Rattus norvegicus: one gene and its partner. The protein of the gene in region 2 purifies or fractionates together with the protein of the main gene of each other region. This does not show direct contact. Links are inferred from orthologs where the notes say so. Each region holds a gene or a part of one and is shown on either strand. Other genes may lie near its edges.

Region 1 (4,172 bases), on a different chromosome or scaffold from region 2:
GGCCTACCTGTCTCTCTACAAACATCCTGAAGCTGTCTTATCTATGGTAGAAGCTGTGTGACTACCTCCAAACTTGGTTTTGAATATTTAGAATTTTTAAAGTGATTTTCCCTGGTGTTTTGTATGAAATATTTTCTTTAATGTGACCTTAATAAAGATATACCAAGCCTTGGTTTGTGAGAGTTCAAGCTCCTCTCCTCACTCCTGCTCTGTGAATGTAAGCAGACTGGTGGTGCACCAGGGAGTTCAAAGTTTGAAAGCTAAACCACAGGACAAAGTTTGGGGCAGCTGGGGCTTGGGTGATGAAGATGAACAGACGGCCATCAAAATACTGAGAGTGGCCCGTGGTGCATATCTTTAATCCCAGCCGTTGGGAGGCAGGGATACCCCCACCCCCACCCCAGCCTGGTCTATTTAGCAAGTTCTAGAATAGCCAGGGCTACATAGAGAAAAACCCTATCTTCCAAAAACAAAATGTTCAGAGTGAGGCAAACAGTGAGCTAGCTCAGCCTAGTCGTTACTGTTCAGCCAGTTCAAAACAATACCCTGTCAGTTTAAAAAAGAAAAAGAAAAAGCAAAGTTTATATTGGAGCAAAGAAAGGCAGTGATCAGGCGATGCGGATGTTTTTAATTCCTCTACTGCCATTGCCCCTCTCCTGGATGATTTTAGAAACCATTGCTCATCCCATGAAGGCGGCTACACTTGAGCAATGGCAGTAGCAGATTCTTTGGGGTTTGCTACTCACATATGTTCTGTCGCACCAACTAAACAAATTGCTGGGAAGCACACATACCCTTCATACCCAACACAAAGAAGCAATTATGGCGAGGTGAGACAAATGGTTAGCAGTTAAGAGCACTGGGCTGCTCTTTCAGAGTACCTAAAGTTGGTTTGCCTGCATAACTGAGACACGAAAATAAATGTAGTTGGTTGACAGTTGCTCCTTTTTGGCACTTCCACTTTATCCTTTAAAGCACGTGGTACACTGTCAGAACACTGGCTCCCTGCAGGCTCGTCCCAAAAACATGCAGTGGCATATTGCTTTACAATCTTGTGGTTGTGCAGTGAATCAAGAGTTTCGAGTTCCTTGAGGTCTCAAGTCGTGTCTGCTAGTTAATCGTGACAGCATTAGTGTACTTACGAAAAGAAACTGTTCTCTAATCAAGCTTGAGATTCGTATAGCGGGTCCGAAACGCAGGATCATAGAGATAACGGGCGCAGAGCGTATCCCCCGGCGGCACCATAGAGATAACGCAGAGTGGCTAGAGCTTCGCTCGCCTAGCCGGCTTCCGCTTCGGCAGTCCTCCTTCCCAACATGGCGCAGTCGATTAACATCACGGAGCTGAATCTGCCACAACTGGAAATGCTCAAGAACCAGCTGGACCAGGTGAGGACCTGTCCCAGCACCTTCCTAGCGCTTCACATCCTCCGACCGCGTTCCCTCCTGGTGGGGGAGGTTTCCTTTCCCAGGGAAACCCCTATCCGGTCCCAGGTCCCGCCCCCTCTGCCTGAGCCCGGCTTTCTCGGTTCCCGAGCTGACCCTTTTTTCCCCGGCTTCTGTAGGAAGTGGAGTTTTTGTCCACGTCAATTGCTCAGCTCAAGGTGGTACAGACTAAGTATGTGGAAGCCAAGGACTGTCTGAACGTGCTGAACAAGAGCAACGAGGGTATGGGCTAGGCGGGTGAGGGCACCTGGGGAAACGTCGCTAGCCGGCTTCTCTGTGGCTTTTTCCTAGTCAGTTTTCGTTAGAGAAAATTATCCGTTACGTAGTGTGTATAACCACACGAGCCCCCGCATGTTGCCTACGGAAATCTAAAATTTACAAGACATTCCTCAGTTACTGTTCTTTTCAATGTCTGTGGACACTGAGCCCAGGTGGGAGCTTCCCTTAACGTCTTCACGTGGGAGCGGCTAGCCTTCCCCAGCTGTTTGTCTTCATTACTTTCACAGGAAAAGAATTACTGGTCCCACTGACGAGTTCTGTATCCTTTCCACGGGAATTGCTACCTTACCTTCTTCCACAGTCTTCCCCAAAACCGGAGAGAGTTTTGATTATTCCCCAACGATATTTATGAATAGTTGCACACTATGTAGTTCTCTTGTCTAACCTTGGACAGGTGTCCATGTAATACTTTGTATCAGAGTTCAGTTAATTGAAATGTGGTGTTTCTCTTTGTTGTTTAGAGATGTTATTATAATACAGAGATAAAGCTGGCATTCGGCTAATGCAGTAGAAAAAAAATGTTAGGGTGTTGAAATTGTGAACATGTCTCTTCTCAATTTTAGCTTAATTGCGGCTCATCCCTGAACTACTTTCACTAAGAAACCTAGATTGTTTCCACCTGTTGAAATGACCTGCTGTCAGAAATGACAGTTAAAGAGAAACCTAAGGGCATTGGTGATTTAGCTCAGTGGTAGAGCACTTGCCTAGCAAGCGCAAGGCCCTGGGTTCAGTCCCCAGCTCCGAAGAAAAGAAAGGAAAAAAAAAAAAGAGAGAGAGAAACCTAAGAATAGCAATGTGGTGAAGACTGTTCTAAGTCACAACAATAGAGCCAGCAAGGTGACGCAGAAGGTAAAAAACCACACATACAACCTGAGTTCAATCTCTGATACGAACATGGTAGAACGAGAAAACCAACTCCCAGAAGTTGTCCTCGGACCTCTGCTCCATGGCTTGCACACTTGTGAAAACACACACAAAAACAAGTAAATGTAGTGGTAGTTGGAAGGTGGAGAAATGGCTCGGCAGTCAGAGCCCTTGCTCTTGCTGAGAACCTGCTTTGGTCCCCAGTGTCTACACGGTGTAGGTGACTCCAAGGGGATACAGCAACCTTTCCCAGCTCCTGCAGGGACCAGGCATGCATGTACATACACACAGTCTTGTCTTAGGGTTTCATTGCTGTGAAGAGACGCTGTGACCAAGGCAACTCTTATAAAGGCAAACCTTTAATTGGGGAGGGTTTACAGATTCAGAGGTTTAGTCCATTATCATCATGGCAGGAAGCATGGCAGCAACCAGTAAGACATGGTGCTGCAGAAGGAGCTGAGAGTTCTACATCTTCATCCAAGGGCAGCCAGGAGAAGAGACTTCAGGTAGCTAGGAGGAGGGGGGTCTTAAAGCCCCACCGCCACACTTCCTCCAACAAAGTCACACCTCCTAACAGTGCCACTCCGTGGGCCAAGCATATTCTAACCACCACAAATCTACCAAAATTTAAAAAATTAAATAAAAATTAATAACAGTCCATCAGGGGGAGTGAGGCTGGTTTTTTGCTCATACCATCTCTAGAACCTTAGGAGAGAATCCTAAGTATCCAACCCGTTCCCCCTGGAAAGACTGGTGTGGGGAATACAGGAGCTCCTTTAAGGATGAGAGATGGGGTCAGGACAAGAAAGTGTTTCAGCTTCTCTGTCTCCTTCCACTTACAGTGACCAGGAAGCTAAGGCCTTCGGTTACTTGGTTCTCCTGGCTGCAGCTTTTTAGAAAAGGCACTTTGCGGTTAGCACTGTGGCTACCAAAACCATGTCTCATGCTGTACCAGTTTTCCCTTAACCCTGGCTTCTCAGATGTATGTCCCCGGGAAGCTCCACGATGTGGAACATGTGCTTATCGATGTGGGAACTGGTTACTACGTGGAGAAGGTGAGCGGTGTGTGGATGTCCTCGGAGAAGGTGACAATGGGAGCTTAAGGGAAGAGGTGTGGCGTAGGGCAGGGTCTCTCTTTAGCCTTTCATTCATTCACCTCTGCTCTTGCAGACAGCTGAGGATGCCAAGGACTTCTTCAAAAGGAAGATAGACTTTCTTACCAAACAGATGGAGAAAATCCAGCCAGCTCTGCAGGAGAAGCATGCCATGAAACAAGGTCAGTTCTGCCCAGGCACCTCTTGTAAAACTGCTATTAGCAGGTTGTGTTTATTACACACACACACACACACACACACACACACACACACACACACACACACACACACACACACACACACACCAAAAACCAAAAACCAAAAAACCAGACAGGCAAGGGCCATAGAAGTGCTGTGGTGTGGGGCTGGGGATTTAGCTCAGTGGTAGAGCGCTTGCCTAGCAAGCGCAAGGCCCTGGGTTCGGTCCCCAGCTCCGAAAAAAAGAACCAAAAAAAAAAAAAAAAAAAAGAAAAAAAAAAAGAGCTGTGGT
Region 2 (2,761 bases):
CCAGGGAGCGCATTAAGGAGGCCATTGTGGCTGAGATTGAGGACTTCCATGCACGACGGGAGGGCATCCGCCAACAAATTCGCTTCCAGCCCTCTTTGCAGCCTGTGGCTAGTGAGCCTGTGTGTCCAGATGTCGAGATGCCCAGCCCCTGGGCTCCAAGTGGAGACTGTGCCATGGAGTCACCTCCTCCAGCACTACCACCATGCTCTGGCCCTGCCCCTGACACTGTTGATCTGACTCTGCAGCCTGCCCCGCCCGCCAGTGAGCTTGCTCCGCCAAAAAGAGAGGGTGCCATCTCCGACAATACCAAAGCAGCCCTCAAAGCTGCTCTGCTCAAGTCCCTGAGGAGCCGGCTTCGAGGTGGTTTGTGGGCCCAGCACCTGGGTGGGTAGTGGAGTGGTAGGCAGGGATTCTGGGACAGATCTGTAAGTCCTTACCTTCCAACTTTTCTGCAGATGGGCCCAGTGCACCCTTGGAGGCCCCTGAACCTCGAAAGCCTGTGACAGCTCAGGAACGTCAGCGAGAGCGAGAAGAGAAGCGCAGGAGGCGACAAGAGAGAGCCAAGGAGAGGGAGAAGCGACGACAAGAGCGGGAGCGCAAGGAGAGGGGGGCTGGCACCTTGGGGGGCCCCTCTACTGACCCTTTGGCTGGATTGGTGCTCAGTGACAATGACCGAAGCCTGCTAGAGCGGTGGACTCGCATGGCTAGGCCTCCTGTCCCTGCACCAGCACCAGCACCAGCACCAACACCAAAACCAACACCAACACCAACACAGTCCTCTGCTCAACCCACTAGTCCTCCCAATGGCCCTGTATCTCAGTCTACTGCTCCTCTACAGCCTGCAGGCTCTATTCCTGGTCCTGCCTCCCAGCCTGTTTGCCCACCCCCTGGGCCTGTTCCCCAGCCTGCTGGCCCTGTCCCTGCCCCTCTCCAGACTGCCCCTTCCACTAGCCTTTTGGCCTCCCAGTCACTTGTGCCACCTAGTGGGTTGCCTGGTTCTGGTGCCCCAGAAGTTCTGCCTTACTTCCCATCTGGCCCACCACCTCCAGATCCTGGGCTCACCCCTCAGCCTTCTACATCAGAGTCACCTGATGTCAACCTGGTGACCCAGCAACTGTCCAAGTCTCAGGTGAGAAGGGAGAAGGCTCAGGATATCTTGACCTGGTCCTGGAAGGTGGGTGGGGTAGTTGTCCATGTTGGGTGAGAGGAAGCAGCAGAGGGAGTCTTCCCTCCGTGAGCCTGCCCCCTTGCTCATAGAAGGAACACAGAAGGCCATTGCAGAGGTGGTTGGGAGGTGGACGCTGCTTGGAAAATGTCTGCCTTAGAGACAGCCTCACCTGCGCTAGCACTGGGTGATTTCAAGGCAGTGTTGATGCTCTAGGATATCTGGGCAGACTAGTCAGAAATATCAGGGTGTGCTCTGCTGACCTCAGTTTGTCCTTCCTGGCACTTGTGTTATAACCTGTTATTGTCCCCTGCAGGTGGAGGACCCCCTGCCTCCCGTGTTCTCAGGCACTCCAAAGGGCAGTGGGGCTGGCTACGGTGTTGGCTTTGACCTGGAGGAATTCTTAAACCAATCTTTTGACATGGGTGTGGCTGATGGGCCACAGGATAGGTAAGATGGCTGGACTGAGCTTTAGTGGAGGGTCTGAATGGCTGCTTAGCCAGCCAAGGCTTAGAACACCATCCCTGTTTCTTTTCCTTACAGCCAGGCAGACTCAGCCTCACTCTCAGCCTCCCTCCTTGCTGACTGGCTTGAGGGCCACGGCATGAACCCCGCTGACATTGAGTCTCTGCAGCGTGAGATCCAGATGGACTCCCCAATGTTGCTGTCTGACCTGCCTGACCTCCAAGAACCCTGAGACCCACAGCTTGTGCCTTGCTGCCAGGACAGACCCAGCTTCAAGGTCCAGGGGTGCAGTCCAGAGGGCTGCAGCCTTGAGCCTGGCAGGTGAGGCTCAGCTTGAGTTACTCTGCAGGTTCATCTCAGACCCACCGTTCAGCCTTAAGCAGCCGCCTGAGCCACCACCGAGCCATAACAGGATGGGAGGCTCTACTCCTTCCTGCGCAGTCTTCTCCAGTGTTGTATTTTTATTACTGTTGTAATATGCATTTGTTTTGCCATCGAAATGAGGCCTGTGAAATACAAGGTTTCCTTTAATCTGACTCTGTTATTGTTGGAGTTGGGGTAAAACCCCAACAGTAGGGGAATAAGGAAAAGCCAGGTGCTCGTATTTGGAGCCAAGTAAATGTTTGTCCACAAAGCCATCAGATCCTGAAGGTTTATTGAGACCTCTACTTCCCACCACTCCCAGCCCCCAGAGTTCTCTGCTGCCTCTCTCATGACAATCCCTAGGGAAGTAGGGGACCAAATTAAGCTGCTTTGCCGTGGCTCCTTCAGAGTCGATGGGCAGCAGCTGTGGTGAGTGTGGTCTTGGTGTTGAATTTTGAGGGATGAGTGAAGGCAGATGGGTTTGGGCTCCATGATGCTCACTTAAGGGAGTTAGTTGATGAGACCAAGGTAGGAAGTATTCTGAGGAGAGCTGTGGGAGTGCTGGGGTGTGACTGTGGCCATGCCTGAGCTGATTGGCAATGCCATAGGTGCTGTATTTCTCTGTCGAGGGTAGCCCTACACAGATGGGTCTGCAGTAAGGAATTGGCTGAGGTGGGATGTATAAGCTGGCAGCTAGAAGGTAGCTTCTGGCTTTCAGCTGTCGTGAAAGGGTAGAAGCAACTTGGAGTTTTATGGATTTCAGCTAGA

Evidence for each region.
Region 1: the proteins of Mapk7 (region 2) and Pfdn5 purify together in Homo sapiens (affinity purification with mass spectrometry; 3 studies listed by BioGRID and IntAct, with this or other methods). This does not show direct contact. The link is inferred for Rattus norvegicus from reciprocal best matches to the Homo sapiens genes MAPK7 and PFDN5.

Annotation. Positions count from the first base shown.
Region 1 is NC_086025.1:135,329,091-135,333,262, forward strand, and holds the start of Pfdn5 (prefoldin subunit 5), read left to right. Parts: upstream 1-1,273; 5' UTR 1,274-1,316; coding exon 1,317-1,388; intron 1,389-1,564; coding exon 1,565-1,667; intron 1,668-1,951; coding exon 1,952-1,983; intron 1,984-3,568; coding exon 3,569-3,643; intron 3,644-3,758; coding exon 3,759-3,864; intron 3,865-4,172. Other genes in the region: Espl1 (separin), read left to right, coding at 1-30. UniProt on the Homo sapiens protein: Binds specifically to cytosolic chaperonin (c-CPN) and transfers target proteins to it. Binds to nascent polypeptide chain and promotes folding in an environment in which there are many competing pathways for nonnative proteins.
Region 2 is NC_086028.1:46,669,121-46,671,881, reverse strand, and holds the end of Mapk7 (mitogen-activated protein kinase 7), read left to right. Parts: coding exon 1-360; intron 361-455; coding exon 456-1,129; intron 1,130-1,481; coding exon 1,482-1,615; intron 1,616-1,708; coding exon 1,709-1,862; 3' UTR 1,863-2,161; downstream 2,162-2,761. UniProt on the Homo sapiens protein: Plays a role in various cellular processes such as proliferation, differentiation and cell survival. The upstream activator of MAPK7 is the MAPK kinase MAP2K5.